2 linked regions of the Oryza sativa Japonica Group genome follow. The protein of the gene in region 1 binds, or shares a complex with, the protein of each later gene. Links are inferred from orthologs where the notes say so. Each region holds a gene or a part of one and is shown on either strand. Other genes may lie near its edges.

Region 1 (3,971 bases):
TCGCGCAGGAGGACAACAGCGCCGACGCCATGGAGGTGGAGCAGCTCGCGCAAGTGTGCGTTCACTGCGGCCGAGTCCACGAGAATGGTCTTGACAAGATCCGATGCGCGCGTAGGAGGCCATGCTCTCGTTGTGGTCTTGTTCACAGAGAATATGCGCAAGAGGCAGCAGGCGCCAAAACGCTCAAAACCAGCTGCAAGATGCACCAAAAAATTTTCTATACCAAGCACGAACGAGCGAAAAAATCAGCTTACAAAACTTCAGCGCGCGCGCGAGCGAAAATGACATAAAAAAAATCCTGCATGCACGGCTACAATACCATGCAAAATCGGATGAAAACGAGCGCTACAAGCGCTCGAACACGGAACCATATGCTTTGGGATGGTGGCTTTAACCAAGTGAGGAGAAGTTATTCCTGATTTGATGTGTATCCGAGAGTATTTAATAAGGGTATAACAAGGGAATATGGTGACTAATTAATAAGTCATTGGTATATGCAATCCTGTCCAAAACGTCACTTAATATCAAACTGGAGGGAGTATCAGTTAAGGAGTAGTACATTTAAGAGCGATGAAAAACAAATAGATTGGACTACTTGGGCAAAAGATTTCGCTCCAAGTTTTGGATCTTTTTAGGTACAAGATCATCGCCTCAGCTCTATAAGAGAATACCATCCAGACATTTAGAGATCCAGACATTTAGAGCTGTGACATCCGAGTGTTGCAACAGGAAGTATTTGTCATCAATATTAAAATTTATTAGTCATGAGTACAATTGCACGTTCGAGTTGGACCTCACTGCTTGATGAATTGAACTGTTGACAATCTTAGCATCACCAGTTCTTTGTCATGGCTGAAGAGTACATCGTAAAGGACCATATACCATTTATATGTACTCTATGGTGTGTTTCGACGTTTATACTAAGATAACATTGCTTTCTCTAGTGTTTCCTGCAGCTCTCCACTTTTGTATGCATCTGCAAAATATAAAACAGTGCAAACATTAAATCCAGCTGAATTGCTGAAACACTGATCATATCAAACATTCAGTAGGGAACACACACATTAATCATCCTCACATCTTGTGTGTCAATTATTCATTTGGGTTTACTCAAGTCAAGTATCTAAATATACTACCATGATGAACATTTTAAGTGATGATTTGCTACATCATGGATTTGTGTTCTCACTGGTCAGCTGGTCGCCAAGTGCACCATCCACCTTAGGGCCTGTTCACTTTGATGCCATTTTCAACCTTACCAAATTTTGGTAAAGTTGCTAAAAAAGTGGCTACATTTAGTTTGCTGCCAAATTTTGGTAACTATACAAGAAATCCTGCCAAAATTTGGTAAGGTTGAAAATTGCATTAAAGTGAATACTCCCTTAATTTCTACTACTGGGCAAGATGTATACATATTTTTTAACAGTTATTTCTTACATTATAGTAGGTTCTTGAGTATATAGGTGGCAACACTCAGAAAACTGCATGGAGCAGACCTATACAAGCTAGTTGTTCAGTGAAGAACACTAAACCAGATTATAACCAATGGTGGCACAGACAGTGGCGCTCCTACATGCAGCTTCTGGTAATTTAAACTAAATTATATCATGCTGATCAATATATCAGTTAACAATTAGGTAATTAGTATGTTGGACCCTGTTAATTTTTGTTCTCGGTTCGCCACTAGGCATGGATACTTAGGATACATCACTATTGGTGATGATTAACTGGTAATGATGAGAGGGGTGAAAGCCACGTCTCGGGTTATATATATGAATCAGGGTTCACAAGCTGCTCTTTTATGGCCAGTACAAGTAGCATATCTTGATTTAACGCAAAACCAGCGTTCAGATGATCAGATCTTCAGATACTGCGAGTATCTCATGCCATGAAAATTCTCTCTCAAAATTTATATACTCTGATAAATTCTCTCAAATTTATATACTCTGAACTATGCCTATGAGGATAGGGAATCATCAAAATTCAGAACCACAGTAAACAACAGGGACGTCTGGTCCCCTTGAAAAGTTTCTAACAGGATTCTAATGGACTAGACACGATAAGCGGGCCGCAGCATGTCTTCAGCATTAGACTAATCGTAGTGGGATAATCACAATGTGTTGGATCGAAGAGGTGAATTGGCATGTCAAACTTCTCATAACAAATCAATGCTGCTTAAAAAGATTCAATTCCTTAACAGTGAGCTTGCGTGATGTCAGGTCAAATCGGGGAGGCGGGGTGCGTACCAACGGTGATGTCGCATCCTCCGAAGAACTCGCCGTCGATGTAGAGCTGCGGGAAGGTGGGCCAGCTGGAGTACTCCTTGAGCCCCTGGCGGAGCGCCTCGTTGGCGAGCACGTCGAGCGTCTCGAAGGGCACGTCCAGCGACCGGAGTATCTGCACCACCGTGTGGGAGAATCCGCACTGCGGGAAGTCCTTGGTCCCCTTCATGAACAGCACCACCTTGTGCGACCCCACCACCTTGTCCAGCGTCGCCCTCATCTCCGGCGCCAGCCCGCCACCCCCCGCCGCCGCAAGGCACCGCGTCGACCGCGCGCGCGCCGAGCCGACGCTGAGGCGCCATGTGGGAGGGGAAGCCCTAGGGAGAAGAGGAACCCTCGCGGAGACGGGGCGCGGGAGGGATGCCCCGGGGAGAGGCGAAATCGCGGCTACGGAGGCGGCGGCGGTGGCGGCCATGGCTGGTGAAGCTCGCGCGCCGGCGGCGAGGGAGAGGGAGAGTTGGTGGCTGTGGTGATACGAGGGCAAACCTGTAATTTCCGCAGTGTTTCTTTCTTGTGGCAGAGGAGAAACTGGGAGTGGGCCTATGGGCCCTAGTGGGCCTATGGGCCCTAGTGGGCCGTACGGCCCATTTGCGCCTCCACGGGTTGGTTACAAGTTACAGCTACGAGGTGGCCGCCTCTCCTCCCCATTCGACTCCTAAAGCCCTAAACCCGTCTCTCTCCTCCTCTCACCTAGCGCCGCCGCCGCCGCCGCCGCGAACGCGAACGCGATGGCCGCAGCCGCAGTGCTCCGGAGCCATGGCGCCCGCCGCATCCTCTCCTACCCCACCCTCCGCGCCGCCGTGATCTCGGGCCCCACGGCGCTACCGGATGCGTCGGCGGCTGCGGCGGCGGCGCCCCAGCAGCCACCGCCTCTGGCTGGAACCCTGTGGGCGAGGTCCATGGCCACCTTCACCCGCACGTGAGTCCTTCTTGGATCAGATCCGTTGCTCTCCGCGCCTGGTTTTCTCTCTTCCTGTGGTTAGCATCTAGCGATCGATCCGTGTGTGACTTGTGTTTTGAATTTGTTGTATGAATCTGTCTCAGGAAGCCTCATGTGAATGTTGGCACCATTGGGCACGTCGATCATGGCAAAACCACACTCACTGCTGCGATTACCAAGGTCTGATTTGTCACATATAGTGCAAGTTCAGTTGTTTTCTTTGGAGTCCAAACAATTTCAACGCGTGAAATGCCTTTTTTATGCTCTTTGCAGGTGTTAGCTGAGGCAGGGAAGGCTAAAGCTGTTGCTTTTGACGAGATCGACAAGGCCCCGGAGGAGAAAGCAAGAGGAATCACCATTGCAACGGTGAGCCTTAGCACTAGTTTTTTCTTCATTTGGACCAGATGGTGTCCTTGTATGTCATCATGTGTAGATCAAGTCTGAGTTATGTGGTTGTGGTTGTGTAGGCTCATGTGGAGTACGAGACTGCTAAAAGGCATTATGCTCATGTGGACTGCCCAGGGCATGCTGATTATGTCAAGGTAAGTAGTTCTATTTTACTAAAGTGGAAGTTATCAAGATTATATATTGACAATCTTCACGAACAATAACCATGGATATTATGTAATACTAATTCATTGGATATTATGAAATTGCTGAGCACATTTGTAGTATGCGCTGTCAATATTAATTATTAAATCCAGTAGGCTCTTCTGATACTCAGGCTTACTGAGTTACTGTCCCGGAAC
Region 2 (2,582 bases), on another chromosome or scaffold:
ATGTGGATAATATGTTTGCTTTAACCCATGCACATGAGTTGTTTGGCTGCCACCTTGTGCGTGCCACTACACATCTATATTGTTGTGCACATTTTTTTCTCAAAGTACCTATGGTGCTTAGACTGCTGGGCATATAGTGCTTAACTGCTGGTTTAGTGTAACATAATTGCGGTTACATACTTTTTATTGGGAATAATCTGATGCTTTGGGACATATTTCTTACTGCTATATTCTGAAATTTCTGGTGAACATGTTGATGCTGTACTAACTATTGCTAAATCGTGTCTTTTTCCAGACCACAAAACGCACTATCCCCTTCCTTTTTGTTCGAGGTGATGGTGTCATTTTGGTTTCTCCACCCCTCCGAACGGCATGAAGTATGAAGGAAGCTCCTGCCGATTGTCAACCATGAGTAATGTGTATTTTTTAATCAATGGCATGTGTTATGTGCTGAAGTGCTACTATTTCTGATGGATTCTAGTTTTAGCATATGATACAATTGTGTAACAATTTCTGATCGAGGTGCTAGTTTCTACTGTCATGTTGAATCAACCTTTTGTTACCAGATTAATCAACTCAATCCCGAAGCACTAATATTTGTTGTGGTGATGTCTTGCGTAATTTTTGTAGATCCACATGCCAAGAACACCCTGTTCCAATCTCTATTAAAAAAGAGCCAGCAAGTTGTAACATTTTTACAGCGTATATGATTCACATCACAACACCCAGCCAAACAGGGAACGTATCACCGTCCCAAGACTTATCACAGCCAAACAGCCAAACAGCCACACGGCAGCGGTGTCTCCAGGGCTTGCAGAAAAGACACATTTTACATGATCATTTCATTAGCTACAAAAAGAGATCTATAAACTATTCACTGACCAGCAAAGTCAATCTTCATTCCAGCCATGCTTGAATTCGCCCCAAATCCTCACGCCCGGTCATGAAATTGTATCCATCTAAAGTTCTAAACAGCAAGCCAACAACACAAAAAGTACGACACAAAGTATTAGCCAAAAATATTCGAATTTCTTCGGGAAACATGAATGGATTTAACTAAATTTCACCACATAGAAAAGAATGAATTTAGCGAAAATTCACCACCATAGAAAAGAGAATGCCCGGGATCAAACCGAAGATTCGATTCCCAATCCAGCGGAGAGATTGGGAAGAACAAAAAACCTTTTCATGATTCCCAATCCACATCAAGTAGGAATATTTCTGGTAACTGAAAGAGGTCAAATAAAGGAGAGGGTGAAACGGCCGGCGCCATCCCAAGTCGTCTTCCTCCTTCGCTCAACCCGCAGAAGAACACAGATTCGAAGAGGCAGAGGCGGCGAAGAGACGCGCGAGCCATGGGCGTCACCAAGGAGGATGTCGAGGCCGCCATCACCTCCTCCCTCAGCCCTTCCAGCCTCGTGAGTCTCTCTTCCCTAAACCCTCGCCGCTTATCCATCATCCTTTTGCCGTTCTAAACCCTAACTGCCGCTTCTGCTTTGGTTCCACGGTTTCAGGTGGTGACGGATACTTCCGGCGGGTAATTCCTCACCCCCAAACTCCAATTGTTCTTCACCTTTGTATAGGAGTATTTAATTTGCTTGCTTCCATTGTTACGAACGAAAGAGAAGAGATCTTGTGTTTGGTGACTGGTTGATCGATTGGTGTGAAGGTGCGGCGCGAGCTACGAGATTGAGGTGGTGTCGGAGAAGTTCGAGGGGAAGCGGCTGCTGGAGCGGCACCGGATGGTGAACACCGCGCTGGCGCCGCACATGGCGGAGATCCACGCCGTCTCCATCAAGAAGGCGCTCACCCCTGCTCAGGCGCAGCCCCAGCCGGAGCCGGCCGCCGATAAGGCGCCCCAGGCTTAAGTAGTTCTTGAACTCACACCTCCAAACTGTTCGATCACATATGCACCACGAGTGAACCGATGCACTTGGTGTAGCGTTTGTCATGGGTGTTTGAGATGTGCGTCAGCTCTCTCTGCTTGAATAATGTGCATACAATGGCAGAATTGGAATGATACTATGCTTGACTGCTTAGAAATTTCAGTAACTTTGCGTGCTTCCCGCGTCATGTGCTTGGCAGTTGATCCTATTTCACAATTTTGCCAATAAATTGCCGTCTAGATAATGATCCTATTTCGCAACTTTGCCGATAAATTGTCATCTAGTTAATATTTAGTCCTAGGACTTGGATTGTTTTCCCCTCGAACTAGGTTGTTTGATTGTAGAGATAAAGTGCAGTTGCTTCATGATTGATCTAGTATTGTTTATTGCTGCTACTATAAGTTGACTGGCTCACAGCCTGACATAGTTGCTAGTATCTACTAGGGGTTCTATAATGCCACATTGTTTTACTTGAGCATTTAGTCTCTGTATTTTTGGTGAAGCCGACAAATATTAAGAATAAACTATTCTCACTGCTTGCTGGACCAATAAAACTGGATATGATCATACAATTGTGTTTGGTGCTAGGTGTATGATGGCTTTTAGTTTATGTGATAAGTAGTTCTCAGCTAGTTTGGGGACAATAAAGTGGTAACTAGTTTAAAATCATATCGTTGTGTTGTAAGTGCATTTGCT

Evidence for each region. The genes of interacting proteins can lie anywhere in the genome.
Region 2: the proteins of monothiol glutaredoxin-S7, chloroplastic (region 1) and protein BOLA2 are in contact, whole or in part, in an NMR structure (PDB 2MMA), measured with the Arabidopsis thaliana proteins. The link is inferred for Oryza sativa Japonica Group from reciprocal best matches to the Arabidopsis thaliana genes CXIP1 and AT5G09830. Residues at the interface, in NP_191050.1 of Arabidopsis thaliana: Lys130, Ser133, Asn134, Trp135, Pro136, Thr137, Glu146, Phe147, Phe148, Asp152, Ile153, Glu156, Ala157, Thr160, Glu162, Glu165, Glu166; in NP_568217.1 of Arabidopsis thaliana: Arg46, Leu47, Leu48, Arg50, His51, Arg52, Asn55, Met62, Ile65, His66, Ala67, Leu68, Ser69, Ile70, Lys71, Gln74, Gln78.

What each region holds. Positions count from the first base shown.
Region 1 is NC_089037.1:36,807,824-36,811,794, reverse strand, and holds monothiol glutaredoxin-S7, chloroplastic, read right to left. Parts: upstream 2,773-3,971; 5' UTR 2,698-2,772; coding exon 2,247-2,697; intron 977-2,246; coding exon 921-976; 3' UTR 565-920; downstream 1-564. Other genes in the region: elongation factor Tu, mitochondrial, read left to right, coding at 3,011-3,201, 3,327-3,402, 3,496-3,588, 3,690-3,764. UniProt on the Arabidopsis thaliana protein: May only reduce GSH-thiol disulfides, but not protein disulfides. Probably involved in the regulation of the redox state of the BOLA proteins. May act as Fe-S cluster donors to Fe-S cluster-requiring proteins.
Region 2 is NC_089035.1:38,153,139-38,155,720, reverse strand, and holds protein BOLA2, read left to right. Parts: upstream 1-1,276; 5' UTR 1,277-1,355; coding exon 1,356-1,418; intron 1,419-1,514; coding exon 1,515-1,537; intron 1,538-1,669; coding exon 1,670-1,868; 3' UTR 1,869-2,073; downstream 2,074-2,582. Other genes in the region: sm-like protein LSM3A, read left to right, coding at 296-376. UniProt on the Arabidopsis thaliana protein: May act either alone or in interaction with glutaredoxin as a redox-regulated transcriptional regulator, or as a factor regulating Fe-S cluster biogenesis. The GRXS17-BOLA2 heterodimer binds a labile, oxygen sensitive iron-sulfur cluster.